2 linked regions of the Caenorhabditis elegans genome follow. The protein of the gene in region 1 purifies or fractionates together with the protein of each later gene. This does not show direct contact. Each region holds a gene or a part of one and is shown in the gene's direction. Other genes may lie near its edges.

What was found.
Region 2: the proteins of nduf-11 (region 1) and C16A3.5 fractionate together in Caenorhabditis elegans (co-fractionation; one large-scale study listed by BioGRID). This does not show direct contact.

The regions. Positions count from the first base shown.
Region 1 is NC_003280.10:11,335,408-11,352,399, reverse strand, and holds nduf-11 (Complex I-B14.7), read left to right. Parts: upstream 1-6,779; 5' UTR 6,780-6,784; coding exon 6,785-6,867; intron 6,868-6,947; coding exon 6,948-7,068; intron 7,069-7,118; coding exon 7,119-7,335; intron 7,336-7,394; coding exon 7,395-7,532; intron 7,533-7,589; coding exon 7,590-7,817; intron 7,818-8,335; coding exon 8,336-8,532; 3' UTR 8,533-8,679; downstream 8,680-16,992. Other genes in the region: clh-2 (Chloride channel protein), read right to left, coding at 312-409; dph-5 (diphthine methyl ester synthase), read right to left, coding at 1,176-1,679, 1,842-2,088, 2,135-2,208; pigm-1 (GPI alpha-1,4-mannosyltransferase I, catalytic subunit), read right to left, coding at 2,454-2,663, 2,716-3,075, 3,127-3,687, 3,736-3,807, 3,858-3,908; B0491.6 (DNA helicase), read left to right, coding at 4,605-4,635, 4,678-5,601, 5,653-5,925, 5,973-6,047, 6,099-6,227, 6,279-6,346; lgc-20 (Neurotransmitter-gated ion-channel ligand-binding domain-containing protein), read left to right, coding at 8,870-8,969, 9,931-10,043, 10,094-10,174, 10,221-10,333, 10,448-10,567, 10,616-10,946, 10,996-11,131, 11,649-11,776 and 2 more; rmd-3 (Regulator of microtubule dynamics protein 1), read left to right, coding at 12,818-12,820, 12,870-12,938, 13,198-13,698, 13,746-13,850; Cuticle collagen sqt-1, read left to right, coding at 14,651-14,791, 14,839-15,672.
Region 2 is NC_003281.10:6,371,424-6,386,991, forward strand, and holds C16A3.5 (NADH dehydrogenase [ubiquinone] 1 beta subcomplex subunit 9), read left to right. Parts: upstream 1-9,348; 5' UTR 9,349-9,367; coding exon 9,368-9,418; intron 9,419-9,529; coding exon 9,530-9,970; 3' UTR 9,971-10,094; downstream 10,095-15,568. Other genes in the region: thoc-2 (THO complex subunit 2), read left to right, coding at 1-379, 428-536, 579-717, 766-1,625, 1,681-2,061, 2,128-2,349; rps-13 (Small ribosomal subunit protein uS15), read right to left, coding at 2,709-2,930, 3,153-3,257, 3,430-3,558; nfx-1 (Transcriptional repressor NF-X1 homolog), read left to right, coding at 3,968-4,181, 4,238-5,139, 5,190-5,721, 5,769-6,778, 6,829-7,179, 7,236-7,586; C16A3.6 (Protein MAK16 homolog), read left to right, coding at 8,039-8,427, 8,480-8,602, 8,652-9,111; znf-622 (C2H2-type domain-containing protein), read left to right, coding at 10,223-10,405, 10,462-11,275, 11,348-11,478; let-716 (rRNA biogenesis protein RRP5), read left to right, coding at 12,129-12,248, 12,293-13,444, 13,488-14,454, 14,506-14,609, 14,655-15,568.

The DNA.
Region 1 (16,992 bases):
CATGGTTTTTCTCCCGTTACCTCAAAAACTTTTTTTATTGAAAAATTTCCAATTTTTTTCTCGATAAACTTCTGTAATGAACTTGGGAAAAATTACGAAAAAACGATTATTTGAGAACTACAGTACTCCTTAAAGGCGCTCACTCTACTGCACATAAGAAAATCGGTCGCTTCGAGACCTGGTACCGTATTTTTGGTGCAAAAAACCGAAACCCGTTGAATTTCGCATTTGGGTTATAGGAAAAAGAAACAAATTTAATTATTTTTGGAAATTGTTTCACGTGTCCCAGAGAGCGTAATCGAATAACTCACTTATTATCAATATCCTTATTCGTCGTTGCAATAACTGCGATTGAAGTCGGTGGAGCCGGGAATACAGTAACATGTTCCGAAAATCCAACTTGTTTCATGAAGGAGGTCGCGTAAGATGAGTAGTAACAAAAAAAGAAAGGAAACGAAAGAATTAACTAGACGATGAACCGATGGAAGAAGACGAGGAAGAGGGAAGACATGTGTGTGTGAGCAGGGCCTGGAGCAGCAACCTTCGAAACTCCACCCTCTCCAGGCCGGAAAAAAGAGCTGTGCAGGACGTTGCGCGAATCATGATTGAGGTACTCACGGAGCACAGGGAGAAAAAACTTGTTTTGACTATTTATGTTACTAGTCTCTTTTTCGTCGTGTCAGGTTTTGGTGTTCTCAATTACAGCTCCGCCTTCTCGTGGCTCACTAGTTTTTTCCGCTTTGCTTTGCTAACTCAATAGAATATTGTCGTCGATCTTCTGGAAAATTCCTATTAAAAATACTATCTAAATAGGAATGCAATTTTAATAGCAGGAAAATTTAAAAAGTGAGAAATGTGCAACGACTTCTTCCGGTAATCCCCAGTTGACGGATGACCTCTAGTTGTACTGCCATTTTTTTTTTTGCTTTCTTCCTCCATTCCCAGGGTCAAAAGTTTGAAGGCGAAACTGGATACGGATAAATTGGAAGAGGATTAAAAAATCGCGGTGTGTGGGAAAAAGTTTGAAATGAAGATTAATTTTTTTGAGACTAACAAAATGAAAAAAAAAAAAAACGAAAAACTAAACAAAAAAAGTTTGAAAAAATGTGGAAAAAGTAATTAGCAACAGACAACAGAACAAGAATAAGAACAAAAAAAGGAACAATTTTGGGGAATTATGGCCTGAAAGTTTCCAACATGTCGACTTCCAAAGGATGGGTTTCACCAGGAATAATCAGTGAATGTAGAGGTTCGCCCATCTCCATCTCACTCATATCTTTCATACTCGCGTATACGATCTTCTGATTGTCCCATCCAACTCTTGCCAAGCCGACAACCATCGTGTTCTCATCATAGGCACACTCTTCTCCCTTGGCTTTTCGTCTCTCATAAATGGTCAGCAGTTGTCGAGCCGCTTCGGAGCACTTTTGATACCTGGCTGGCTCGAAGATCTTCCGCCCACGCATCATATTTTCGACAGTTTGCTCTTTGGTTTTGATATCCAGCAGGCATAAAGTGTGCATTCCACGTTTACGATTCAACGCGATTTTATCGTAATAGCTCTCCGGCTGCCACTCGTCAGTCCACATTACAATTGAAACTGTTTCTCCGAAATTGTAGAGTTGTAGTCCACAACAGCCAACTGCATTCATGATGGAAGCATTGTGAATCACTTTGACCTGAAACGAAGGAAGTTTTAATTTATTTTTAAAAAAAACCTCTTAATATTTTGAACACACAAAAAATTCAAGTTATATGAAAGTTTAAAGGAAGTTTCTAGTTTTTTAGTTTATGTTTTGCACGTTCCGTGACTGGAATCAAATTTAGCTTCCTCAAATCACCGGAATATTCTGTTGCTTAGCACGCAACACCAGATCCGCATGTGTAGTTGCTCCGAACGGGTCTCCAACGACAAGTAGAGCTACGTCTTCCTTATCGGCTCCATTTAAAATCGCATCAGACTCCTGCTCGACGACTGTCCGATCGGCTTCAATGATCTCTCTTCCGTAGAACTTTTCGAGATTTGTTTTGTCCAATCCATAGCATAAAATGCTTGTGTAGGCTTCTAGATGAACGCGAGCACAGTTTCTGAATAAAAATATTTAATTTTGCATTAATTATATTTTATAAATACTTGACAATATTTAATCCTTTGACAGTGATGTCTTCAACGTCTCCAAGTCCCAAACCAATCAAATAAAATACCATCTGAAGTTTTTTTTTTTAAATTGCAGTTCATAACTAATTATCAGCTGATATCAATACAATTAATAAATAAAAGAAAATCAGTTATCGGATGAGATAATAACCGATAATATAAGGTTCCAGAAATGATGGAGCAATAAAAAATGCAATAAAATTTATTAATTTTAAAAATAAATACAAGTAATTACCCATATGAAAAAGGCGACTAAAGCTTTAAGTGAACATAAATATCATTTTACAGAATGAGATCAATCGGTTTTTGGCTTGACTATTGGTACATAATGATTGATAATTTGTTTGAGAATAAATGAATTTGCAATCAAAAACAGGCAGGAGGCCAGGAACATCAAAAAGAATGTATTCCATCCTTGGAATTCGAATAAATACGCAGCGAGAAGCCAGATTCCTTGTGTTGCGAACCACGCGGCCATTAGAGATAACGCTAGTTGTCGGGACATCTGGAAAAAGGTGGAATTTAGGAAAAAACTAGTTTTAAAAATAATAATTTACCATAATTTTATGAGCGAGTAAAGGTAGAAGAACAATGTACCAGACAAAGTACTGACTTGTGCACACTTTGTTATATGTAACAAATGCGAAGGTGGTGATAAACCAGCAGAAGGGAAGATCATCGTAATGCTTGAAGGCGAAGAACACGATCAGCACAATTTGTGGAATGAATGCTCCGAGGCCGATGATCTGTGACATTGTCGGATTCGCTTCATACAGGTACAATAGGTAGAAGTACGGCGAGAAGTTATGGGCGAGATCTCTTCTTTTGACGTGGTAGATCAGATATTCATCGAGGAATAGTTGTCCGTAGATTTGGAAGAAGAATAGTACCACCGCTGCGAATGATGTGAGAGTTACCTAAATCTTTTTAACATTGAGAATTCCATGTTTTTAAGAAAAATAACTTACCAGCATATATGCGAAGCCTTTCCAGTTAGAAACCAAACTTTTAAACTTGTTCACAACACAACTTTGTTCTCCAATTGTTGAAAGACTCAGAAAAACTGATGGGAGATAAATCAATGGATAAATCTTCAATTGGATCGCAAGGGCGCCGTGAACTAGAGCTGCAGATTTCCAGTATCCTTTTTGAAGTAGCACAATATTCAGAAGCACGACTGCAGCAACAATAGATTCTGCATTTCCTCTGGCTGAGATGATAGCGGTCAGTGGATTCGCAAGCCAGTAAATCACGACATTCATTGTTTGATCATCTTTCATTTCTTCTCGTGTTTCGCTTTTTGTTTCGTTTAAATCTTTCTCCATTATTTTAAAATACAGAATCGCCACCAGGATGTCGAAAATGCAGAAGAGAATCTTTCCAAAGTCCGGGAAATGCACAACAGGCAAAAGAATCCATGCTAGCGCAGGCGTATATCGGTAAGTGGCTCTGTCGAATGGGCTTCCACCGTTTGAGACATGTTTGGCAGCGTCGGAGAACACGTGATAGTCGATGTCTGTGAAATTCACCTGAAACACTGAGTTTAAACTTATTTTGATGATGTAAAATTATCAAACCTTGAATAGATAATCGTGAATGTGTGCGTAGAAAACGAGAATTATCCTTGCCACGAATGCCACTAGTAAAATCTGGAAGAACATCATTAATTCGATGAATTCGTTGAAAATAGACAAATTACCTTATTTCGATTGAACGTTTCGTTCTTCACAAAACTCCGGACACATTGCATTTGTGGAGAAAACTGGAATATATTCGAATATATAAATGCTAAAAACCAACAAAGAATTTGTTAAAAATTGAAAAATGCAAGTGTGCTCTAGCGCAAATTTTCAACGGAGGGAACTTGAAAATTAGTTATTTTCGGGCAAACTTGTCGCAATTTTAATTGCTTCTTTCTTTCTTTAGATATCTCGCTTTTATTCATTTTTTACTAATCTTATATGTTTTGAAAGAATTATTTGTTAATCTTCATTATGTTTTCCCGGAAAAAATTAGCAAGAATCGAGTAAAACGGGTCTAAAAACGCGCTGCATATTACATGTAATCCTATTCTAGACAAACAAGTCATGCGTTTTCTTGTTATTCCCAATTTTGCAACAAGACGCAGAGACAAATTTCAAAATCATCAAAAGTCCAATAAAAGAATGCTTCCTTGCCCCGGAGACGCAGAGAATTTTCTGGCCGCTTTCGTTATTTCGTCTCTGTCTCTTTGTCCCGCGTGCTCTTTCTCGTGAATATAATCTGCGACTCTAGTAATTTTAGCACTATCTCTCATGTTCGTTTCGATTTTTGCGCCACATTCGACTTCATTTTTCGTTTTCCAAAACTTCTTTCAAAACAACTTTTTCGCATTAATTTGTTGTCTTCCTCACTCTTTTGAATTCAAAAACGAAAATTTTAAACCACCGATTGCAATTGTTACGAGATGCAAAAACCCGACGAATCGAATGAAAAACGTAAGAACAATTCAAATTATATTTTAAAATAATTATTATTAGTTTCAGATGATATTCCTTGCACATCAGCAAGCCTTCTCGACCATTTGATTCAGAAGGAAGCTTCTGCAGCAGAGGACACTGATCCCTTGGATCATATTGGCAATATAGGAGAAGCTATCATTGGACAATTTTCGTCTGGAGCAGATGTTGGAACCGAAATTCTACAAAATGCTCTCAAAATGTTCGATCAAGCAATGGCCTACACGAATCCACAGGCTCCACCAAAACGAAAATATAAACGAAAAGAAGCTCCGATAGAGGATGCTCAACCTACCACGACTTCATCAGCTACGCTAGCTTCCTTGCTCACTCTCAATCCGGTTCCAATTGAATCTAGTGCGAAAAGATTCCATCAAAATGATCTACGAGCTGGTTTTTCGCCACGTACCAAGTTCGACGTGGATTGTTCGGATTTCTTTCTTCTACAAGGATCTGATGCTGACACTCAATTCAATAATCTCCACAAGAAGCTCGAGAAGGAGAGAACGCAGATGTTTGATGATCAAGTTTCGAAAGATGTTGAACGACTTCTAAATACCGCAAACAGAGTTCACGGTCCCCGAGAATGGACTGCCGAGGAGAAAGCCGAATTCACTTCATACTGTAGAAGCTGGCGCAGTGGAGCATTAGGGGCCGATGACAAGCTGAATCTTCAGAAATTTTATTCAAAAGCGTACGGAAAAGTTTTCCAAGGACTGAGCGAAAATAAAGCTTCATCGGAGGAATCAGCTATCGATTTTTCTAATTTCATGGGTGTCGGTAGTGAAGATCCTGCTAATCAAACAGAAGACGTACCAGGTGGAAGCTGCAAGGCTTCTCCCGACAATTTCTCATTCTCTACTTTGAATCCAAGAATGAAATACGAGAAAGAGAAAGAATTTCGGTCCGCTATCAATAATATATTCACGGAAGTTTTCAAAGAATGTAAGTGAATATTGTAAAAGTTTTTATTCAAACAAAATTCTTTATTTTCAGTTCACTCAAAGAAGCAATTCATTCCCAAACCAACTCGCCTGGACGTTCCGCCGTGCGAAATCGAGCGGGAGCATTTATCAATGCTGATGTCAAAGTTCAGTATAGCTATGGACGATCCAGAAAAGGAATGGAATGTTGATGAGCTTCAGGAACTGCGTCGATTCTATACATTATTTCGAGAAAAAAATCATTTGCCATTCGTTCAAACTAAGGAATTCGGAAAATTTCTGCGTAAAGCATTTGGAAGACTAGAGCATTATGAGCTTCAACGAGGTTTTGCAATTAATTTATGGAACTTATATGATTGTTAGTTATTTCAGAAAATGACACTTCTCTTCAAGAAAAACGAAAATTTTGGCAAGAATACAGGAAAACGCATGTACCACCGAAAAGAGGTGATTTCTAAAATAAATTTTCACATTTTATCCCAATTTCGTACATTTCAGAGCGAAAAGCGTGCGCGGCTAGAACCACACCAGTAAGACCTTATATAAAATCGAATATTGATACAAAAGGAGAAACTGAAGAAGAGAGAAGATTGCGGAGAGCTGCGTATCTTCGAAAGTGGAGGCTAGGTAATATAACATTTTTGTAATAATACATTTAACAAATTATCGATTTTTCAGCTCAAAAAGAGAAGCATTCAGCAGACGTCATGTCACAGTTCAAGCACCAGGAAGATGTCGCCTTGTGATTTCTTTGTTTAATATTAATCAACTTTTTGTTCGCATCTCAGGAAATGTTCTTTGAAAAATAATTTGTTAGATAAAATTTATTTTAATCCGAATAAATATTTTATAATCTTTTTACTTATAGTTAATACAAAATTATAAACTCTAAGAGCTTTCAAAAAGCAAAAACCGCAAAATTAAATGCAAAAAGAAATTACAAATAAATCGTTTTTGAAAATCCGCGCAAGGACGAAGTATGCGCTAACATATGATTGTTGGCGCGTTTCTCATTCCTTGCGCGTTTCCCGTCTCGGCCGATTAATTTTTCAGTGTATTTTTTTCTGTTTTTGTTTATTTTATCCGCATTTGAATACATATTTTTGGCTTATCTTCTTTGGAATTTTTTGAAAGTATCTATGAACAATTTTTTATTGTTATTTATCAATCGATTTTCAGGTAAAATGGGCCACGGAGAAGAACCATTGACCGCCACGTATAAAACGCAGAGACCTCCATGGATCGGTCTTTGGAGTGATCGTGAATAGTAAGCTTTATTCTTTTTCTACTTTTGAAATTAAATCTAATTCAATAAAATATTTTAAAATGGTAAAATTTGTAATTCAGCAAGGGACGTGCCGACTGGTGGAAGGAGCCAGGACTTGAAGACTCTGTCACGCGTTCTGGAAAACTTCGTCTTTATCGTGCTCGTTTCCGTGAGGAAGATCCAGATTGGTATGATCCAAAGGTACAGTTAATTTATTTTGAGTGATATTCGCTAATTTTTTGCGTTTTCAGGTAAAAGACGGAGAATCCCTGGCCGGACCTTTCGGACTCGATTCCAAGAAGACCAAAAATCTCACCAAAAAAGGAGATCAGCCAGGAGAGCTGTCCGAATTCCAGAACAAAGTTTACGAAGGATCCCACCAGTTTAAGGCTATCGCTGAAAAGTTTGGAATCAGCAAAGAGCATCCAGGACTATCCGTTAGTCCAACCTTGAGCGATAATATGCTAAGTGAGGAATAATTAAAATTTTATTATAAGTATCCTGCTACAAAACTTTTTTATTTCCAGCTCCAAAGGACGAGTTAGGCAGAAACGCCGTGTTGCCAAACTCTTGGTATCCTGCCGGACCCCGTTTCTTCGACAGTCCACTCAATGAGGGATCTTTCTGGAAAGGACTTGCCGCCGCCAAGTATGCTGGAATTTTGTGTAAGACTAGATTAAGATTTAAAAAATGTTCACGATAATCATAAAACATAATTTCAGTGGCTCCATACACTATGCTGGAAATCCGTGCACTCAATACAGTCTCGGTATCCGAATTCTCGCCAAGAACCTATATGAAGAGATACCTCCAACTCGCTCCATTCCCATTGGCCGTTGCATTCGCCTGGGGCTTCAGTCTTTCAGCAGCCTCATCGATCCGTCATAAGGATGATGTCCATAATCATTGGTTCGCTAGTGTTGCTGTTGGATCAACCGTGGCTACCATGAGTATGTTTTGTTAAAAATTGTAAGCCAATTTGGCGAAATGATCAAAAAACGTGGTTTTCAGAGCGTAGAAAAAAATTTTAATTCTATTTAAATGATTTCTTATGTGTTTTCATCAGATTTTCTGTTAAATTCGAAGAAAATCACATGGAAAAAATTTAAAACAGAAACTAATATATTTTCGTAATTTTCCAAAATAGAAAAAAATCAATTCAAAAAATTATCTTTCATGGTAGCAGCCACATTATCATTGTATCTCATAATCAATTAGTTCTGATTCTGTCCGAAAAAATATTTTGTTCGAAATATTTTAATAAAAATTAGTCTGAAAATAATAAAAATTCGGCTTAAAATATGAATATTTATTTTTAAAATTTAACAAAATTCTCTGTAAATCTGGCAAAACTTGTACATTTTTATTTTTTAACAAATAAAAAATCTAGACACAAAATCAAAATCTGATTGTCCTGGTTAATTCCTGAAAAATTTAATTTTTCGTTTCAAAACCACTATTTTTCCAGAGAGCAACGTTGCCCTTGGAACCACTGCCGCCATCTTCACCGCCATCCTCGGAGCATTCTGGCAGTATCAACGACACTCGGAGACTGGACTCCAAGGAATGACTGCTCATCCACAATCTGCCGGAATCTGGGGAGGACCACTTCTTTGGCAGAAGATGCAACTTGGAAATGCCGATGTTCCGACCACACGATACTGATTGGATTTTTGAATTTTTTCTAGCTTCGATTCTACAATCATGTATAAGATTTTTAGTTTTCGAGAAAGAAGCATATAGCACTCAAACTTTAATTTTTTTTTTCTTCTTTTCTGCTCTTTTCCGAATAAAATCAGCGGTCATAGCATGAAAATAGTGTCTGTGAGTCGAGACACCGGGGGAACAACAACACAACGAATCGATTGTTTCACACGCTGGCTCCCCACCCCGCTCCGTTGTCCTGGTAACAACAAGAAGCGGGCGGTTCTTAAGAAGGGATACGCGTAGCAGCACACATACATACAAACTCGCATAACTTATTCCCTCTTGCTGGTCAAAAATGTCGTTTCTTGTGCTCTTTGGAGCACTTCTTCTCATTCAGACTTCTGAGCAGATGGTTCAATGCAGGTACACGAAGAATTTGACAAATCGAGCAGATGGTGAGTTTGGAAATTCCGAAATACTTTTTTTTTAATGGTTTTGGAAGGAATAACGTTGCCCACGTAACTCTCGGAAGTGAAAATTCAAATTAAAAAAATTTGCGAATTCTTTTCTTTTTTTGCATTTTGAAAACTGCGAAATTTAGCGATTATTATCGCAAAAATACGATACCCGGTCTCATCACGACAAATTTGTGTTAAATGCAGAAAAGGTGTGCGCCTTCAAAGAGTACTGTAGTACTGTAGTTTCAAACTTTCGTTTCTGCGCAATATTAATCGACTTTTGATAGAATTTCGATACTTAAAAATGCACTTTTTTATTAAATAAATTTCAAAATCTAGAGAAAATCTATGAAAAATCCGGCAGTAGCAAGAGTTTGAAGTTACAGTACTCTTTAAAGGCGCGCACCTTTTCTCAATTAACACAAATTTGCCGTGTCAAGACCGGGTACCGTATAGTTTTCTTACAATTAATTGAAAAACTGAAATAAAATACATGACTTTTTTTTTAACCCATGAATAACACAAGAAAACAATGAAGAACTTCGGTATTCTTTAAAGGTGCACATTTCTTAGAATTTTTGAAAATCGTTCGTTTCGAGACCCTCAACCGTACTTTTGGGCAAGCTTCCATCGAACCAAGGAATTACATTTCAAATTTATTTGGAGATCACGATCATTTTCTGTTTACGCATGACTGAGCGCTTTGACTCATTAGTTTTGACGGCTAAAAGTTGATATGTTGATCTTTATATTACGCAGACGTCGGAAGATGATCATTTTTTCCATATTTTTGGGTCTCGCCACGCTGAAAACAAATTACAGTAACTCGGGCCAGGGGCCAAGGGCCGCTTTTGCATGTCATTCTAATTAGAACGTGCGTGGCCGAGTTTCTCTTTTCGCGGGCACCTGGAAAATTTTTTTGGGTGGTCTCACAGCATAACCCAAATCTTTGTTTTAGGAGGAGATGAGCACTGTCTATTCTACTATCTTCTCAACAAGGAATACGAGAAATCTGGCAGCGTACACTCACTAAGCGCATATCCTCCAAATTCCGACGAAATGACGATTACTGTAATTATGATTTTCAGAGGAGACTGAAGTTTAAATATTTATATTTTCAGATAGAAAATGTGCTTGTCAAATACGTGGAATTGGTGAAAGGATCTAGTTATCAATTCAACGTTTTTGGAGATATTTATCTGGTAGATGGGATGACAAAAGTGGGAAATTAAATGCAAAAATTTGCAGAACTGGAAAGATGAGCGTATGAAGTGGGATAAGAAAGGCGAATTCGAGAACTATGAACACTTGTACATTTTCAATTCAAGTGCCATTTGGACACCTCATGTGATTGATCACACGTAAGCTTTTTTCGCAGACCGTACATTTATATGGCTGAATTTGGGTTTAAAAAATTAGTCGAGAGTATCTCCTTATTTTAAACCGCCTAACATTAGAAATGAACTATTTTCCAGACTCTGCTCTGAAGGTGGTTGTTCTTATTCAGTCGATGACGTTGATATCTATGACGATGGAACAATCTACGCGAGAATTCAATTCAAATATCTTGCAAGTTGTACGGTGGATTATAGGAAGTGAGTGATTTCAGTAGCACATCTTAAACTCACTTGCAACCATTCCAGATTCCCTGAAGAAGACGACAGCTGCTGCATCTTCTTCACCGCCTTCGAGCCGAACGTGGAGCAAACCACGCTTGTGCTCGAAGGAAAGGAAAAAGAGAAAATGAATCGACCTGTCTACGCGCAAAAGATCTATGAAAAAGAAAAACAGCTCAGTGATATTGTTCAAGAACACTCCCCATGGGTAGTTGTCGAGAAAACGATGAGCACTTCGAATCTGGGAGGGCTAAAAAGCTTGCAAGTTATGCAAGTTTGTGTTCGAGCTGAAAAGCAGATGAGCACTGTCCGTGTTGCTCTTTTATTCCCGGTTACGCTGGCGACATATGTGATGCTGGTGAGTGGATGCGAAGGAAGTATTCTAGGAATTAAACTAAAATTTGCAGGCCTCACCTCTCTTCGGAGATCTTCGCACACAAATCTATGTGAAGCTCTTCTCCCTCCATATTCAAACATTATGCTTTCTCTACCTTTGCACCATAACTCCATTGAACGGTTTTCTTGGAGTCAGACCACGAATTTGTAAGGTTTTTTGATTCAAAACTTTAATTCTCTGACTTGAGATATCAGGCAGTAGGCACAAGTTAGGCAAATTCAGCCTTAAAGACGGTCAGATATTTTTGTGACTGCCCCCATGAAACTTTTGAAGCTCACAAATTGTAAGGAATAGTTGAAAAATTGCTAGCTCGCACAATAAAAATGAAGTGCCGTACCTTTCCCAATTAGACTTTCTCTACCTTGTTCTACTTTGACGGCTTATATCTCGGTTGTCTTTAATTTTATCAAAAAATGCTCAACTAACAAAGGACGGGAAAAATTCTTCTCTACATTTTTATAGTTAAATATTTTTTGATAAAACTTATGACAACCAAGATATAAGCCATCAAAGTAGAGCAATTGGGGTGCAAGTTGGATAGGGAAAATACGGAAAGGTTTCTGAAGAACCAACCCGGGTGGAGTACTGTAGAATTATCTTCAATATATTCTGTAGTAGCCAGTAAAACATCACCAAAATAAAAGTCTGGAAATTTCTTTTCAGACATTTTCTACGAACTGATCTTTACAATCAGCTTTATGAGCATTCTGGTAACGCTTGTAGTTATGGCTCTCAGTCGTGTCAAACGAAACGTCCCACCATCTCATCGGCTATTCCTTTCAGCGAAATTGGTAAGCGCTTCCCTAACTCAAAATCTAACAAGAATCTTCAGATAAACCGAGTTGTATGCTGTATTGAGCCGGAAAGAAGTGATGCTTATCATCGCTACGTGGAAGAGGACACTCCGGAAAGCCGAACTACAAGCGAGGTTAGTCAGCAGCAGTCGGTGATAAGACCTGGCGCCGAGGTAGAACTTAGGTCCTGAATATTTGGAAACTTATAAATTATTGTTTCAGCTCGACTACACTCAGGATTGGCGGCACATCTATTTGGCTATGAACAACATGTTCTCGGCTTTGATGTTCTCCGTTTTTCTCTTCATGACTTTCTTGGAATTCTTTTAGAACGCGGAAAGTTTTAAACTTGCTTATCATCATTTTAAAATTTTTTTGTTCACCACCTGAGCCTACGCACTGTAAAAAAATCTGTCAATCTGTCCTGTTTTCCACGCCTTATTTTTATACTTCAAACTTGATTTATACAAACTTTCCATTCTCTCCCGTACCGGAAATTTCTGTCCCATTGTGATGCCTACGTATCTGTAATATTTTTTGCGATAAAATTTTTAAAATAATTTTTTTCATAGTCTGATACACACAATCAAGTTCCGGCTTCAGAGCCATGGGAGTACGGTAGTGTCGAAGACTTTTGCACGAAGCACTTATCTTTGGACTTACATATTTTCAGCAATTCTACAAAATGTTTCAACACTTTTTTAAATCAAAAGTTGGTCAAAAAAATATAGAAAGTAATTTTTAATTCATTGAAAAAATTCTTAAAAACCCTGAAAGGTGCAATTTTCCAGTTACCTAATTATCGAGCTTTGTTTTTGCCAATTTGCATTTTATTTTAATTCCTTAATATTTCACGCTAAAAAAACTTGAAAGGATTTAATTTATTTTCCAATAAAAATTTCAAATAATCAAATTTTTGAAAAACCGTGGCCTCCCTATTCCCTAATTCTTGCAACGTGGCATTCCACAGACTCCACCCCTTCTTGAACTTCCAAATCAATTATTTCCCGTTGTTAATCAACACCGATCAACCACACCATGGTAAGTTCTATCGAGTTTCAAAAAAAAATTTCATCGTTTTTTTTTTCAGAATTTTGATGAAATTGACAAGACCTTCGGAACCAAAAACCGTGATCAAGGATATGATTTGCTCAAAGCGGTAAGTTTTAGATATGGAAGATATTAAGGCTCCCATGATAAGCACATGGGCCTGCCTTTAACCTGCCTGCCACGTGAATTCACATAGTTCTAATTTTGTGATTCCACTCGTTTTGATGAATGTCTAATCACGAAATAAAAAAGAAGTTCACGTGCAGGCAGGCGAAGGCCAGACAGACAGGCGCTTTGCCGCCTACATGAGAGCCTTAAGAGATGTTATAAAGAATATAGTTTCATTGTTCATCTCTTTCTATTTTCAGCGTCTCGACAAAGGCGATCGTTCGGTGGAAGTCTTGTGGAGACTTGCTCAAGTGATTCATGAGAAGTCAGCTTGTGTTCCAAAAGCTCAACGCAAGGCAAGTGTCACTGAAGGACTCAAGTTTGCCGAAGAAGCTGTCCAGAAGGATCCAAACCATTTCAAGGCATTGAAGTGGAATGCAGTGTTGACTGGACAAGCAACCGAATACATGGCAACCAAGGAAAAGTTGGAATGCAGTAAGAAGTTCAAGGAATTGCTCGACAAAACTCTTGCCAAGGAGCCAAAGGACACAGCTGTTCTCCATTTGCGTGGCCGTTATAAGTACTCGGTGGCGTCTCTGACATGGCTCGAGAAGAAGCTTGCTGCCACTTTCTATCAGCAACCACCATCGCATTCGTATGAGGAGGCCAACGAGGATTTCCTTGCTGCTTACAAGGTCAATCCGAAGTGGATGGAGAACACTTTCTACGTGTCCAAATGCTACGTGGCTATTAAAGACAAGGTAAGGAAGCTTCATGCAAATTTCTAAAAAATAGTTAATAATTCCAGGCCAACGCTCGCAAGTATCTCACTGAAGTTTGCGACATCGAGCCGTATTCGGACGCTGAGCAGGAGTTTGCCGATGATGCGAAGCAGATGTTGTCGAAGCTTTAGGCTTCAGCTTCCACATGACAAGTCGAGCCAGAATATTTAAATAACGTGCACAAATGCGTTGTAGTATTGTAGAAATGTAGAGAATAAAAAGTTTAAAAGATTTACTGGGTTGGCATGCAAAGAATCATAATGTTAACAAGGATGGCAGCACATTCACTTTCAGGATTAACCTTTTCCACTTTCGAATATTTTAAAATGTTCTCTTCGAAGCAGATGAATGTTTCAACATTTGCCAATAGCTTAAGGTTTCCAAACTTGCCATCTGAAGTAACAAGTATAAATTATGATACTTTATTTAACAATTTCAGATTAATTATCTTTTGTATCTGCGTTATCGTTCCAATCTGATTCATTGGATTTTAACGATACTCGAAGAAAGCCCATTTTGCCTTCAAATCTACTGATGAGCCATCATAGTTTTCAACCAACTCTGCCCTCGATTGTCTATCTTCCATTCTCACCAAGTTTCAACAACTTTATTCAGTCATTCTTCTCTGGTTCATTTCCCAACCAATCTTCCCGAATAAAGCCCATCTGTCCTTTCGGCCACATTCCTCACCTACATCCGTACTCCTTATCTCCCGTTCTTATCCAGTCTTTTATCGTCTCTGCGTCTCGCACACTGTCTCGTCGGTAATGTAAAAAAAAAACAAAAAAAACTTGAAAACTTGCGGAAAGATTTCCTAATAAAAGGAGACGAATCCGGTAGGAAATCGACAAGTCTCTGCTTCTCGAAGACTAGGTGAGTTACATTTCTTTGGCCGAATTATTTTGAAATCCTAAATTTGATAATTTCAGAGATGTCTGTAAAACTTGCGTGTTATGTGACGGCTTCGGTCACTGTCGCCACTCTTATGGTATGCTTCATGACCATGTCAACCATCTACTCGGAGGTTGATGGATTCAGAGAGAAGCTTGATACCGAGATGAATGTGTTCAGAGTGAGTTAAATTATATTTTGAATTTTAAATAATTTTTAATTTTCTAGCAATCTACCAATGGATTGTGGAAGGACATAGTTGTCATCGGAAGATCTAGCAAGCGTGTCCGTCGTCAATATGAAGAGACCAACGCTACCCCAACTCCACATGCTGATGGATCCCCATCTGCTCCACCAGGTCAACCACCAGCAGTTCCACCAGTCTTCAACCAGCCAAAGACTCCAAATGGAGCCAATGGAAATGGACCAACCTGCAACTGCAATGCTGATAACAAGTGCCCAGCTGGACCATCCGGACCAAAGGGAGTTCCAGGAGTTCCAGGACTCGACGGAGTTCCAGGACTTGACGGTGTTCCAGGAGTTGGAGCTGATGATATCGCTCCACAACGCGAGTCTGTCGGATGCTTCACTTGCCCACAAGGACCAGTTGGACCACCAGGAGCTCTTGGAAGACCAGGACCACGTGGACTTCCAGGACCAAGAGGACAAAATGGAAACCCAGGAAGAGATGGACAACCAGGACATCCAGGAGAGCAAGGATCATCCGGTCAAATCGGAAAGATCGGAGAGCCAGGACCACCAGGAGAGAAGGGACGCGACGCCGAGCATCCAATCGGAAGACCAGGACCAAAGGGACCAAGAGGAGATCAAGGACCAACAGGACCAGCTGGACAGAACGGTCTTCACGGACCACCAGGAGAGCCAGGAACCGTTGGACCAGAAGGACCATCTGGAAAGCAAGGACGTCAAGGACCAGACGGAACCCAGGGAGAGACTGGACCAGACGGAAGACCAGGAAAGGATGCCGAGTACTGCCAGTGCCCAGACAAGTCTCCACCATCAGAGGCTGTCAACGCCAACCGTGGATACAGAAATATCTAAATTGTTGGTGTTTTCTAATAAAATATTTGAGATTCAGCTTGTTCCGATTAAAAATTTAGAAAAATTTTCCAAAAAAATACCAAAAAAATTGTCTGAAAGTTGGAGATTTTTTTTTAGAATTTGTCGCGTTTTTTCGGCAATTTTTGAGCGTTTTCCCATTAGGTTCAATAAAAAACTATTTTTAGATAGAGCAAATATTTTTTCATACATCCAATTAACCCGACATCAGCAATTTTTGAACAATTTTGAATTTTCTTTGAATGTACAGACATATATTTTACTGTTAAATGTTTGCTCTCAAGTCTCTACAGTCAGACTCAGATCAAGCTCGAAATCACATATACTATACATACTGTACTCAACACTTTTCCTGACTACATTCTCAATATCAACAGATCCTCTCCTTCCAACAATCTTCAAAAAATAAAAGTTCATAAAAGATCCTTTTCCACCACTCGAAAACTGTGTCAACACGTCTAGTATTGCAAGTATAAAGTGAAAAGCACCGTGTGAAAACGACGACGAAAAGGTGTCAAAATTCTTGGAGGACAAATAATAATCGGCTCTATCGGGCGGAGCGCCCGTGGCAATCGGATATATGTGGCCACACATTTTCCAATTTATCGGCGGCTGCGGCGGTGCCTTCGGGAGTCCGGGGTCTGCCCCGGAGCAACAAAATAAATATGACGGAGCACAGAAGAGATATCTTCGGAATAGTGGTTGTGCAGAAAAAGGCGCTGTGCTTCTCGCGGAGCATGTGTGTCTCTGGGTGTGTATGTGTGTGCAACTCTTTCACTCACTTTCTCGTCTCGTAATAGAATTCAAAGGAAGATGTGCGAAACTTGTCATTCATTCATTTTGTGCTCTCTTCTCTCTTCGTCAAATCATTCAAGACTGAGAAGAAGCAGTGCTGTCGACGCCTTCTTCTCTTGTCTGTGCAAGTATGTGTGAGATAGAGAAAAGTATTTTTCTTCTTTCTTCTTTCCTCACTTTTCCTCCTCTTGAATCGTCTGTCTTGGATTCAAGAGCCGTGAGAAAGACTGATCGAACCTTCCCTTTCATTCATTCAAAACTTTTTTTGGAGCCTAGATTCTGTCAACTTTCTTGTGGTCTTGCCGGATTCTGATACTGTAGATTGCAGCTAGGCTGCACCTTAGAACATGGGACTCGGTCTCGACTGCGTAGGAGTACTGTAGTACCACAAGAATAAGATTAGGAACTACAGTACTCCATAAAGGCCCACACATACTTTCGCTTAGAATAATCTGCCGTTTCGAGACAGGGTAGTGTATTTTTACGAACAAAAATCCCAAAATCTCT
Region 2 (15,568 bases), on another chromosome or scaffold:
TTCCATTGAAACTTGTTGGAAAAATGGTTGATCAGTGTAGTGACACATTTCAACAACTCGTTTCATTTTTGAGTGTTTATCTGAAAAATGATGATTTTTCGAAACGAGTTCCAACTGTTCGTGAATTGTTATCTGATTATTCACTTGGAATGGAAGCCACAATGTGTCTGGCGAGACCTATTTTCTTCTCAAGAATATCAGATCACTATGATGCGGCTAAAAAAATCTCGAAAGCTGCTGTTGAAGATGGACAAAAGACTCGTTTGGATACACAGCAAAAGACTGAAATGTTTACAAGTGCGTTGGAATCACAAGTGGAAATGTTAATGGATGAGCTGAAAGCATCTGAACCTGGCATGGAGGAGAATATACCTGTGAAGTGAGTTTTTATCAAATTTTCGCCCAGTTTGCTAAATTTTTCTTTCAGATTCTTCGCTGTTTTCTGGATGCTGACAATGTATGATATCGAAGTTCCGACAGCTGCATATGAACGGACACTTGATGCTTTAAAGAAACAGTCAAGAGAAGACAGTCATGTTAGTTTTCATCTATAAATAATCTACTATTTTTTATTTCAGGGAAAAGCTAAGAAAACTGATAAACAGTTGGAGAGTAAGCTTCGAGAAGAGCAGAAGAGGCAAATTGAGCACGTGGAACGTTGTAAAGTATGGCTTCTGAACAAGAAAGACTCGTTGATTGATGAGCAATTCCATAATTGTAAGTTTATGCATGAAATCCGCTTTAATACTTTTCCAATATTTCCAGCTGTATTGGAAGCTCTCATTCAACAATGCCTCCTGCCACGTGCCATATTCTCCGAACTTGATGCAGTGTTCTGTGGTCAATTCTTCATGATGCTTCACGAAATGCGGACTCCATTCTTCCCATCGGTTCTGATCATTGACAGACTCTTCGAGAACATAATTCCTCTGATCGCGGGGCTCACCGAGAACGAAGCCAACTCGCTGGCATGCTTCTTTGAAATTCTGCTCTGCACTGTTCAAAGATGGCACTCGGAGAAAGAAGTTTTCGAGAAGGAATGTGCAGGATTTCCAGGAATGATCACAAAACAAGCAATTGAATATCAAACTTTCCGAAAGTTATGCTATAGATGGCAAATTCGATTTACTGCCATGTTTAAGACAGTCTTCACAAAAGATGATGCTGACTATGTACTTATCAGAAATTCATTGATTATGATGACAAAGTTGACATCTGGATTTCCAGTCATATCACATGCAGTCGCCACAATGGAAACAGCTGTAACCAAGTTGAAGGATCGAGAGAAGGGAAAACGTGACGATCTATCATTAAAAGCAGCCTCGTATGTTGGAAAGCTCAAGATGAGAACTGTGAAGATTTATGCTCAAAATTCGGATTACGCCCCAGTTCCCAACAAGAAGGTGTCGGTCGGTGCTGAAAAACCAAAGAAAAAAGAAAAAGTGGTAGATGAGAAAGATAAAGCTGATGGGGAACCAGTTGATAAGAAGATTAAAGTAGATTCGAAGAAAAATGGGACGACGAGTTCGGAGAAAGTGGTGAAAGATGATGAAGTACATCAGAATGGAAGTGAAACAGAGAAGAAAGCTACAGTAGATAACAAAGAGAGAAAGAAGCGACCTGGAGTGAGTACATAAATTATTAAAATTCACAGAACTGAACTAACTATTATAATTTTAGAAATCATCCCACGGATCAAAAGAATCAAAGAAAGAGCCAACAACTGAAGATGGTGAAGTGAAGACTCCAAGTCCCCCTCCTGCAAAGAAGACTCGAATTGTTGATCGCTTAAAACGGTCTGATGAACCTTCAAAGAAAGATGAGAAAGAATCTCCGAAGGACACAGAATCTGAAAAAGGAGAAGGTAAGAAAAGAAGAGAACGATCGAAAGACAAAGAAACAGGAAAAGAGAAACGGTTGGAGAAGGATAATAAGGAACGAGAAAAGGATAAGGAAAGGAAGCGAGAAAATGGAGAAAACCAGAAAGAACAAAAGATTCTCAAAGATCAGAAGCAAAAAAGCAAGCCGTCCGATGAGAAGCTTGAAGTGGCAGGACCCGCGGTAAGATATTAACGTTTTCTCAAGCTATTTTCAAAATTTTCCTTTCGAAAATGTGATTTATTTCAGCTTCCCGACCCAGTTCCCAAGAAAGATGACAAGAAAGGCTCTCGAAAAGCGATTGAGTTTGATCTAGAGGAGCCTTCAAAATCAACATCGTCCTCTCGAAAAGATCGCAAAGATGATCGAAAAGAAAAAAAAGAAGAACTTCCAAAGGCATCAAGAATAGCAGAGCCTGCACGTGATGCTGGAAAGAGTGGAAGAGATCGTGGGCATCGAACATTTAGATGAGCTCTCACCACATATCCCCAGATTTTCATTATTGTATCTCAGTTTATGTTGTCTACGAGGTTTTCTATTGTATCCTGATGGATTATTAAATATTCGTTTTATTTTTTGTTAGCATTAAATCTAAAGACATTGGATCGTTGAACTTCTTGGAATGTGAAAGCAATGGAAGTATTTCGAATATAGAATGCTTGCTCGAAGAGTCAATCCAAAAGTCGAAGATCAAGTGCTAAATGTGAGCAAAAGACAACGTCAAATTTCCGAACGACTTCCAATCTATGGGAACAGCCCTTTACTTGAATTTACTGGTAAAACAAAAAAGAATTATTTGAAACAACAACGATTTATTGTCAGAACAATGCTTATGAAACAAGAGAAGCAGCGGTTCCAGACTCGTACTTCCAGGTTGGTGGAAGCTGACGCTTGGTCTTGTAGTATCTAGCCAAACGGTGGATACGGGACTCGACGAGGATAAGTCTGTACTTGCTGTCAATGTCCTTGCGGGATCTCTCAAGATGCTTGCGAATGGCGACGGCCTTCTTGACGAGATGGTACAAATCCTCTGGGAGCTCTGGAGCCATTCCCTGAAAAAACAATAATTAAACTAGAAAAAGACGTTGATTGAATTTTACTAGTTTCTACGAAAACTGTCATCGTGTTATTGAGATCTAATCTAAATACAGTTACACCTCACCCAAAAACAGGATATTTCATATTGCTCATTTTGACGGCTGGCATGGACAAGTCTGAGTCCGATAACCAGTGCTTTTGAAGAGCGTATACTGATATAAAAATTGCATTATTACCTTGGACTTGAGGATGCGGAAGATCTTGTTTCCGGCAAGACGGCGGACTTGTCCAACTCCGTGGGAATCCCTGAGGATAACTCCGATTTGGGATGGACGAAGACCCTAAAATACAAAATCTCTGCCTGTCGTAAATTTCAAAAGGAAATGGACACCGAAAACTCGGTTTTCACATTTCCTGGGCCCATTTTCAAACTTGGAAAAATGGTAGCCCAGTTGATGATCATATGGTAGTTATCGGAATCGCACCAAGTAACTCCTCAGATCAATTGCAAACCTTCTTGGCCATCTTGACGATTTGGTCTTGGACCTCCTCGGCGGTCATCTTTTGCCATGATGGAACGGAGCGGCGGTATGGGATGGCCGACTTGGCCATTCCCTTTCCTGGATTGTGCATGCGACCCATGGTTGATGCGGATTACCTGAAAGAAGATGATAAAATGTCGAGTTTATTGTAAAAATGTAAAGATTAAAGAAATTAACAAAATTAATGAAAGAACAAAGGTAAGAAAAGTGCCCTATGATTGGCTAAAATGAATTGCAATGGAAATGTAGCAAGCGAAGAAAAATGTCCTAAAAGTTGTATACGGTAACACTCGTTTTGCGTGTGTAACGCGCGTGGTGAGACAACGCGGGCAAAATCAATGTCCCTTCAAATGTGTAGTTTGTGGTCGGTCATGTCATCTGAACTATTGCACAACATTGCATCGCTTTTCTCAATGTTTCGCGTTTTCAAATAAAAAAATTTCACAAATATATAAAAGAAAAGTATTTTTCCAATAATTTATCTGTTTCAATTACAGACTAAAGTAATTATGGCCGATACTGAAGGAACATCATCTAGTATTCCAACATCCACAAATTCTTCCCGTCACCGAGCAAGTCGAGGAAGAGGAGGTCGTTTCCGTCAAGCTCCTCGACAAGTAGGAGCCAATACCGCAGATAACCTAGATGCGGCGCCTTTGATGAACCCGAGAGGAGGACATCGTGGTGGTAGTGGAAACAAACGTGGCAGAGGACAAAAAGAAGGTAATTAAAGGCAAAAATAACTTTAAAGAGCTTTAAACTAATTGTTTAAATTTCAGCTACCTCTGCAAGCCGTTTACAAATGCAGCCAGAAGCTAATTTCACCTTCAACCCCAATGCTGCGACATTCAACCCAGCACAGTCGGTTCTCTTCGATCCATCTGTGCCTCCACCGACGATTGGTGCCTCGACACATTCGAATCAAAATTCCAGACAACAGGAGCCATCGCAAAATAGAAGAAGACGTGGTGGTCAGCAGAACACACAGCGTCGTCAGCTCGAAATACAAGAACAAAGAGGCGATTCTCATCCACAAAATCAATCAAGACAGAACAATAGAAATCAACTGAATGTGGATAGGATTGCAAATCAACAAAACAAGTCAGTGCAAAACCCATCTCGAAATCCTGGGAACAGCCGAAGAGGCCAAGGAGCTCGTCGACGGGAACAAAAAGAAGAACCGCTGACAGAAGAAGAAACTAAAATTTTAGCGGATAAGCCACTCAGAGAGGGTCTGGTATATCTTCTGGAAAATAATAAGTATGAATGTGCGATTTGTTACACTCGAATCACAACCAGACAAGGAGTTTGGTCCTGTAAAACCTGTTATCATATTTTCCACATTTCAACTGGATGTATTACTGATTGGGCGAGATCAAGCAGAGATAAAGAAGGTGCAAACACTTGGAGGTGTCCAACCTGCCAGACAGAAAACGAAACCATGCCTTACAATTATTATTGTTTCTGTGGGCGTATGAGAAATCCTAATTTCCGAGTTGGAGAAGTTCCACATAGTTGCGGAGAGACATGCGGTGGTGCAAGAAAGTTCGGATGTCCTCATCCGTGTACTGAACTGTGTCATCCTGGTCCATGCATTGAATGCAAGCTTTTTACAACAAAATCATGCAATTGTGGAAAGACGAAAAAAAGTGTGAGATGCGGATCTGACCAAGAAGTCATGGTGAGATTTTGAAATCTAGTTGTATCTTTAGTTTTATTCAATGTTTTCAGTGTGAAACAGTCTGCGGAAAGCAACTCTCATGTGGCCAACACAATTGCGAAAGAATTTGTCATTCCGGTGATTGTGGAGAGTGTACTGTAATTCTAGAACAAGATTGTTTTTGTGGCAAAACGCCAAAAGAAGTTTCCTGCAATCCGTGTGCACACGAGAAATATTCATGTGGCTCAGAGTGTGATGGAATGTTTTCGTGCGGAATTCATCATTGTACGAAGAAATGTCACGACAAGGAGTGTGGAGAATGTGAAACAGGAGCCAATAGAATTCGAACGTGTCCATGTGGAAGGAACACACTTCAATCACTTGGAGTCACTAGGAAAAAATGTACAGACATGGTTCCAACTTGTGATTCAGTTTGTGACAAATGGCTAACTTGTGGAACTCCTGGAAAGAATCATCATTGTCGAGAAAAGTGCCACGAAGGTCCTTGCCCTCCATGCAATCTCAATACATCCGTAATTTGTCGCTGTGGAACGTCTAAAGGCGTCATTCCATGTGACGAATATTTGCAAATAATGAAAACCAGTGAGTTTCAAATGTCTTCATTTGATCTATGACCAATATATTTTCAGCTGGTGAATATCTCTGCACAAAAAGATGTCGAAAAAAGAAGTCATGTGGAATGCACAAATGCCAAGAAGTTTGCTGTATTCAAGATGAACATTTTTGTCTGCAAATGTGCAACAAACGACTTTCTTGCGGAATTCACACATGTGAGAATGTATGTCACGCTGGACAATGCCGTCCGTGTCTGCAAGCCAGTTTTGATGAGCAATTTTGTCATTGTGGTCACACAGTTCGAATGCCTCCGATTCCATGTGGAGCTCGTCTACCAGTGTGCTCCCAACCATGTGTCCGTCCACACAGTTGTGATCATTCTGTCTCTCATAAGTGCCATGGTGAACAAAACTGTCCTCCATGCACACAGCTCACCGAAAAAATGTGTTATGGTGGACATAGAGTTCGCAAAAATATACCGTGTCATATCGACTCAGTTTCATGTGGCGTGGTTTGCAAAAAACCCCTCAAATGTGGAGTTCATGTGTGCCAAAGAACATGTCACGGTGAAGAATGTGAGAAAGAAGGGGAGAAATGCACGAAAAAATGTGAAACCATCCGAGAGCTTTGCGAACATCCTTGCGCACTTCCATGTCACGAAGATTCTCCGTGTGAGCCAAGCCCATGCAAAGCAAGTGTGAGAATTTCTTGTGAATGTGGACGAATTAAAAAGGACGCACCATGCTGTGAAGTTGATAAAATGATTCTATCAAAACTCGAAAAGGAAGAAGAAGAAAAATCTGAATCGGATGGTGAAGAGAAAGTGGTCAAAGAAGGAATTCTCAAGCGCTCAACAAGTTTTTCTCAACTTAACTGCATGAAATGTGATGACGAATGCAAGAAATTGGAAAGAAATCGAAAAGTTGCTGAAGCTCTTGAAGTTGATACAGATGAATATGGAATGAACAAACTCGCTCCAACTATTTCCTTCCCTTGTTATCTGAAAGAGATGGTTAGAACCAACATTGATTTCGTCAAATCTGTTGAAAAGATTCTCATTGATCTGGTTATTCAAATTCTAAGTGTAAGCTACCATTTGTTTAAAATTGTGGGCATACATATAGTTTTTTACAGGGTGAAGCCTACCACGACACTTTTCGAGCTCACCTGCCAGCAATGAGTATTGAGAAGAGAAGATTCGTGCATGAATACGCCAACTTTTTCAATATCGCCTCAGAAAGTGTAGACAGTCCACCAAAAAGAAGTATCGTTCTCACAGCAGTACGAGGAAAATCTCATCAGCCTCTCGTTCTCATTAGTGATCTTGTAAACTACAAAGGAGCTCTAAAGACGCCAGGACCTGCTGTTATTAGAAAAGATATAATGGATCAAGCTTTGAGTAAAAAAGAAGAAACAGAAGGTCTCATGAAACCATTAAGATGTACGGAAAAAATGGTAGTTCGGAGAGAAGCTCGTCCAATGAAGGTAAATATATAATTTTTGTCTGGCATTGTTCAGATTTCAATATTTTTATTTTCCAGGAAATAACTGCCCCAATCCCATTGAAACAACAAAACCAATTTGCTCTTTTGGGGAGCGATGTCGATTCGGACGATGAAGAAAGTAACGTTCCGACAACAAGTAATTTAGTATCTTCACCTCCAAAAGATTGGTGGAAAGACGAGGAAGAAGGGTGGCAAAAAGTGCAACAAAAAGAGTATGTTGTTGAAGTCGAACGCGATATGACCGAAGATGAGATTGAGGCGGCGAAAAAACTGGATGAAGGTCCCACATGGGAAGATCAATGTGACGAAGATGCACCAGCAACAGAAACCAGTTCAGCTATTGAATCTCCAGCGAAAGAGGAGCCGGTTGCTGAATTACTAGAATAAAACGTATTAGATTTTTTACATGCACTATCACATCAATTTTCGATGTTACTATTCATATCCTCAATTGTACGGTGTAACAGTTTGTTTCAAGTACATTTCCATTGTTTTGAATACTTTAAAATACGGTTTGCTTGTTTTAACTAATGAATAAATATTCTCTGGTGTTTATATTATTTTAATTGCGTTCCTGTGGCCCAGTTATTTCCTGTGAAAATATTTGTTTGAGACTTTAAATTTTAATTGAAAGATGAAAATAGAGAGAAGGCGCCTTAAGGCACGCGGGACTGACAAAGTGTGCAAACACCGCCACGCGAAGACGCACACTTTCGGTTCTTTCACAATTTTTTTGCCCGTTCTTCTCAATCAATTCTTGCTTCTTTTTCCTTTTATCGAAGTAATTCTCGTGTGAAAAACAACTCAAAAAATTCGAATTTTTCAGAAACTGGGTAAAAATGCAGTGCGACGATGTGACTTGGAACATTCTCAACAAGGGACAATGCGCCTACAAAGCGTGGACAAAGCCAAAAATGTTCTGTAAAAATGAAATGAATTTGACTGGTTTGTGCAACAGAGCTTCGTGTCCATTGGCTAACTCACAGTATGCAACAGTTCGTGAGGAGAACGGAGTATGTTACTTGTACGCAAAAGTTGTCGAACGATCTCACTATCCACGTCGTTTATGGGAAAAGACAAAGTTGTCAAAGGATATGAACAAAGCATTGGAACAAATCAGTGATCAACTTCTTCATTGGAGTGAATATGTTAGACACAAGTGCAAAGCTCGTCTCATCCGAATTCATCAATATTTGATCAGAATGCGTAAAATGGCAGTCCGTGGAAAGTAAGTTTAAACTTATAGAAACTGAATTTTGCATAGTATTATTTATTTTCAGCCAGAAGAAACTCATTCCAATTGGACGGAAAGTGGAAAGACGTGAGAAACGTCGTGAAGAGAAGGCACTTGTTGCAGCTAAACTTGATCACGCTATTGAGAAAGAGCTCTTAGCCAGACTTAAGTGAGTTGATATATTAGAAAGTGCACATTTTGAATGAAACAACTTTTAGACAAGGAACATATGGCGATGTTTACAACTTCCGTCAAGAGGCATTCGAACAAATGCTGGAAAACACTGAAAAAGAGTTGGAAGTGGAGCAAGAACTCGAGCAGGACGACGCAGACACGGGTGAGACTCAGTTCGTCGCTGACTTTGATAGTTCCGACGATGAGGATCAGGACATGGAAGACGGAGGTGATGGACATTGGTCACCAGGAGATACTGACAGTGAGAACGAGGATAATTGGCAGCCAGAACAAGAACAAGAGGATTCGGATGAAGATGATGAGGAAGGAGGTGATGAGCCAATGGAAATTGAGGAGCCACCAAAGAAGAAGGTAAAGAAGGAGCCGAAGAAAAAGACTGGGAAGAAAGCTGCTGATGGAAAGAAGAAGAAGCTCAAGAAACGAGCTCATGTTGAGATTGAATACGAAGAAGAAACGGAGCCACGACAAAGGGTCAAGGCATAAAACTTCGCATTCCATTTTGTCTGTTATCGTTATTTTTGTTCTTTTCTTTTATTCGCCCTCTTCCAATTGTGTTGTTGTTATTTGCTTTTTAATTTTTAACTCTTTTACCCAAAAATTCAAATGAAAATTGTTACTTTTCCTTGTTTACTAAAAATTAAACTGATTGGTTTTTTTTCCAATTTTATTTTATTGTTCCAATCACATATTTTTGTACTCTATAAAACCCATTGTTTTCAGAGAAGACCGGGAGGAAGCCATGGATTCGCCGGCGTGGATGTTCACGAAGGCGCTGAGCCATAGACAGAAGGTAATTTTTATTTTTGAAAAGCTTTAGTCGTTTGTGAAATTGGTAGCGTTGTTTTTTAATCTGATTGGAGATTTCGTCTGTTTAAAATGTAGCGAATTATTGCATTTTCAGGTCACCCGCCTCTACAAACGCTGTCTTCGCGAAGTTGACAACTGGTATGGAGGAAACAATCTGGAAGTTCGCTTCCAAAAGTGTATTATCCGTGCTCGATTCGACGCTAACGCTGATGAGGTTGACACCCGTAAGAGCCAGATCCTTCTTGCCGACGGATGCCGTCAATTGTGGGAGAAACGTCATTTCAAGCCTTTCCGTTTTGCTCTCGATCCAGGAGGTTCCAGTTATGATCGTGAACGCGAGTCGCCGGATGAGATTGTCGATTCGGATCAATGGACATTGGCTGAACGTGAACAGTTCCCCTACTACTTCAATACTCGTGAGCAGAGAAAGAAGGAGTTGCTGACTCACTGGGCCAAAATCGAAAAAGCTTGGGATGAGGAGATCGCGTCAATTCAAACCCAACTACCAGCTGCTGCCCCAACTGTTTCCAAATAGGCCACTATGAGGAAGTAATGCGATTGATTTTAAGTAGAACGAGCTCACTCGTAGACCGAATAATTTTGTTTTGTTTTTTATGAATTTAACGTCACTGAACAAATAAATATAGCTGTATTTTCATTGTATATTATCATTTATTATTCATCTGTTTAAATGGTTATTGCTGACCATTTGCATATTTTTTCCAATTTATTTAAATTTCTTCTTGTAAGCTTTAAATTAAACATTTTATTACAGAGATCTATCAGAATGGATGGATCTACAGGGTTCACATGTGTAACATGCCGTGTCGTCTTCGAGACAGCCGAGCTGCAGAGAGATCATTACAAAACCGAATGGCATCGGTACAATCTGAAAAGACAAGCTGCTGAGCTTCCAGCTATAGGAATTGAGCTTTTCAATGAGAAAGCTGCATCGTTCAACCCAACAAAGGTAGGGGAAAAGTTTTCTAATGTTCGCTTAATACTTACTCATTATCAATTTTTCAGCCAGTCGTTGCTGCTTCAGTTGAACCATTGTACTGCAAGGCTTGTCGGAAATCAATCAAATCGGAGAATGCAATGACTGATCACGTAGCTAGCAAAAAGCACAAGGAAAATGAGAAGAAGATTGAGGATGATGTGAAGAAAGGTCCAAAGCAACCAAGAAAGAAGCCAGAGAATTTGCCAAAGAAACCTGAGTCACTAAAGGAACCTGAAAATGATGAAGATGATGACTCGAGTGGATGGGAAACTGACGATGAGGAGGAAGGTGTGGAGGAACTAAATGAGGATGATGCTCTTCCAGTCACATCTTGTCTGTTTTGTCCACAGACAAAGCCTAATATGGATGAAATGCGTACTCATATGAACTTCCATCATGGATTCCAACTTCCAGACAGGCAATACTTGAGCGATGAACTTGGATGCTTAAGCTACTTGGGACTTAAAGTTGGAGCTGGTCGTTGCTGTATCTTCTGCCCAGACGTTAAAGCCAGATACGAATCAGTTCAGAGTTGTCAGCAGCACATGCGAGATAAGCAGCACTGCAAACTCCGCAGAGATCCTGAAAGCATGATTGAGCTCGACGACTACTATGATTACAGTCCGATGTATGATGGAGATGATCAAGATAAGTCAGAACTGTTTGATGATGGATGGTCGCTTACTCTCCCTTCTGGAGCTAAAATTGGACACCGTAACCTTCATCGATATTTCAAACAATACCTTCGCCCAGTTGATGGTACACAGAGACTTGTTTCAAGAGCAGCACTCGATAAAGCAAAGGGATTCTATCCAGCTCTCGCTTGGACTGGAACTACGAGTAAGTTTTATTAGAATTCTATGACATCAAATAGTAGAAATAAAAAGAAATGTAACAAAAATAATATTTCAGCTGTCGCGGCCAAGAAGGTTGCTCGAGACATGAAGTTCGTTGAGCGTTTCCGTCGTCGTTTCGATCTGCGTGTGGCAGTCAAGTCGAACAAGTTGTTCAAGACAAACGGATTCGTCGGAGACAATCATTGACCACTTCATTCCAATTTTTCTGTTCCTGTTTGCTAACCTTGTTGTTTTTGCCGTTACCCCCGTTATGTTGACATTTTTCAATGAATATCCATCTGAAATAATTCGCTTCGATATACCAAAGAGGGATTTGGTAATGATCTGGTTTTCAAATTCAACACAATTCTAATTAGATCAAGTGTTTTGACCAAAATTTTCTTCAAAGGGAGGACCAAGTTATTACGAGCGCAGGTCTCACAACGAACACATTTACTACGGTAATCTTCAACTTTATTCATCATACAACGAAATCTTCCCTATTTAGAATTTAGCTTTTTCTTGGCGTATTCTGAACATTTTTTGCTAAATACGTCGCTTTTGTTAAGCAATTAAAAAATAGAACTATACATTTTCGCTCTCGCCTTCTAAATATTTATTTTTCGAAAACATTTCTTCTTCTTTTGATTGGCTACGGTATGCGAGTCCGCAATAGTCCGTCGCGGTGATTGCACACTTTTATCTTCCGAGAATTTTTTTACAATTTTATTTTCCATTTTCTCATTAATTTTTCCCCGAAAAAAAAAAAGAAAATGCCATGTTTTTGTTTTCAAAAAATTGTCGATATTTTATTTACTCGTAATATCTCTTCCGGGGTGATGAATATTTTGTTTCAGATGGTTAAACTAGATGAGGTAACAAACGAAAAGTGCTTCCCGCGTGGTGGTGGTTCGGACAAGCCAAAACCATTGAACAAATCCAACTCGGACTTTGTAGGAACGAAAGGAGGGCTAAAGGTTTGTTATTATCTCTCTTTTCATTCTAAGTATTCAAGTTTTAGAGAAAGTCCGCAGCCCCAGAACAACACGAGGCCAAGAAAGCTAAAGAAGAATCTAGCTGGATTCCGAAGGTTGAGGAGAACTGCTTCATTGAAGGACTCACAGGTTTTGGGGTAGTTTCTGAGGTTTTCGATGATGGAGTTCTTCTGCATACCGCTGGTACACATACCGTCAAGATTCATGCTTCAGAAGTCTCGAAGAAGTTTACGGAACTTTTCAACGAGGAAAAAATTGAGATTAAGAATGCATTTCAACTCGGCCAGATGGTTCCATTTCGTGTGATTAGTAAGAAGCAAGGTAACGACAAAGGGAAGGTGAAAGGAACTTGCAACCCAGCTCGGCTCAACAAACATCTCTCTCCAAATATGTTGGCTGCCGGTCTCGTTCTTCATACCGCCGTCGTCAGTATTGAGGAGAAGGGTGCTATTCTGGATGTTGGACTTGATCAAATAACAGGATTCATCGAGAAATCGCAATTTCCAGCAGCAGGATTGAAAGAAGGAATGCCACTTATTGTTCGAGTTCTATCTTCCACGTCAAGAGTAGTAAAAGTAACTTCCTTTGTGGAGCAGGACAATTTGAATATGACGTCTTGTGAGAAGCTCCAACTGAACCATTTGATGCCTGGAACAATTCTCGAATGTGAGCCAACAGGAGACGCAGTTACTGCTGGAGTCATTGTAAACATTGGAAATGGCCTGAAAGGAATTCTCCCTCGCCGAAATTTGCCTCCGCGCCTTCGTGAGAATCCGGAGAAGCTCGGGAAAGCCATTAGAGCAATTGTGATGTTCTGTCAACAAAATTCAAAAATCCTTGTACTCAATGCACACCCAGATATTGTTGCTGCCAGTCGTATCGAAAAAAGAACATCGTTTGAAGGAATTTCAATTGGAGACAAAGTCAAGTGCACTGTAATTGATGTACTCCCAACCAAAAGTATGGTGTACTTTGCTCTCCCTGCTATCGATGGAAAAAAGTCATTGGTCACTGCGGTGTCATCTCGAGGACTTTTGGAAAAACCAGATCAAGTTTCTACTGAGTATGAAGTTGGAACGGAAAAGCTGTGTCGAGTCACAGGATTTCGATATGCAGACCGATCGATCACCATTTCAACGAGAAAAGATATTTTGAATCAAAAAATTACAAAATATCAGGTAATTAAAAGTAAAATTAAATATTCCATTTTTATATTTTCAGGATGCAAAGTGTGGAGATGTACTTGATGCTCGTGTTCATCACGTGGCAAAAAGTGGAGTTTACTTCATGGTGTGTAATTTTGTAAAAGCATTTGCTCCTTTGAGCATGCTTTCGGATAAGCCACTTCCTGCGCAAAAAATGAAGAACATCTATAAAGTTGGAACTGAAGTAAAATGTCGTGTATGGCAGATTTGCGACGAGAGAAAAAATTTAATCGTCACATGTCGAGAGTCTATTCTTGGATTGAAAAGTCCGTCCGTCAACAGTGTTCAAGAGTTGGAGATTGGAGTTACTGTTCCATGCGTTATCAGAAAGGTTTTCCCAACGGGAGTTCTTCTTCTCGGAACATTCAATAACATTTGTGGAGTTCTTAGAAAGGAATCCGCCGTTCATTTGCCAGGAACACCGAAGAACAACGATTTTGTAGTTGCTAATGTGGAGAAGATCGAGGACAACCGAGTTGTATTTGTGCTTCGTGACGTTAACCCGAGTGCTGCTGTTGCAAATGGACAAAATTCCGAGAAGAAACTGGTTCAGAGACCGAACCCAGCTGATGGAGGTATATCAATTGGAAAGATCTACAAAGGATCATTGTGTGCCAAGGCAGGAGAGAAAGCAAATGTCACTTTCACCGGTGAAGGAAAGAAAGAAGTTTATGCTTCTGTAGATGATCATCTTCTATCCGATCTTCTTGATGCTCCAATTGGACTAACAAAGAGATTGTTGATTGAGAATAAGGAAGATATTTCAACTATTGTGCCAATGGGTAAAATGGCAGCTATCAACCGAGCCTGTGTGAAAAGATCTGTTGCTAGTTTTGTAAAAGGAATGAAGCTACCAAAGAAGATTGATGAGCTGAAAGTAGGAAAAGTTATTGTCGGAATCGTTGGGCAAGTCATCACGAATGTTGGAGTATTTGTGGAGCTCGTTGGAGGAAGTGGACTTGTTGGAAAGGTTCTGGAAAGAAGTGAGCAATTTTTATACTTTAATGCTTATTTTTATTTTTCCTTGCTTATAGAGAATGCCAAGAACACCAGCGAACTTCTCGAAGTTGGACAAGTCATTGTGGGAACAATTGAGAGCATTGATACAACGAAAAAGAGTTTTCTTATTGATCCATGTGTTAGTTTAACCTAAACTTGTAGTGTAATGAAATTTAAATTTTAGACTGATCTAGAAACTGGCGAGCTGATGCTTAAGAAATATGCTCTTCCACTTTTGGAATCAATTGTTGAAGAAGTGAAATGGCTCGCCGAGCAGTCCAACTATCCAATTCCTGGTTCCAAAGTCAATGGTAAAGTCACCAAAGAATTAGATGATCTGACGCTAGTGGAATTCGAGCACAATGGAAAGAAGATTGCTGGTATTTTACCAAAGATGGTTGATGATAAGAAGACAACTGAGAAAACCAAGAAGAAGAAAGCAACAAAATCATTTATCGTAGTCGATATCAACCATTCCACTAATGAAGTCGTTCTGGCCACTCCATCTACTGAACAATCAAGAATCGTTGCAATACGTCGTGATTACTTGTGCGCAGTTTCACCAGACGGTCTGATTTATTTACCAACAAGACTTCATCCAAATCATCTTCCAACTTCTGATTCAAAAGTTAAACTTCATACTGTTATCGATCTCAATGATCAGAAGTCAGTTGGAGAAGGAGTTTTCGTGGCTACACGTGGTGGTGGAGATGTGGACGATGTAGCAAGAACAACATTGATCAATAAAGAGTTTGTGGGAGACGAAAAGAAAAAGAAGCAGACAGCTGAAGGATCTGATGGCGCAGTGTCAACCAGCACAAAAAGCGTCAAAAATTTCGGAGTCTACAGTGGTGTAGTTATTGGAACCGCCAATCTAGAAGAGAATCGAAAAAGAAACTCATTGTTTGCTGATATTCGTCTTCCTGGGGATAATATTGGACGACTTCATGTCTCTGAACTTCCTCCAAGTCTTCTGAAAGCTGAGAATCCACTTGATGAATTTGTTAAAAGGAACGTGCGAAAAGCTGTTATCGTCCGTATTATTGGATTTATCAAGAGTTCTAAGGGACCAAGAATCGCAGAATTGACTATGATCCC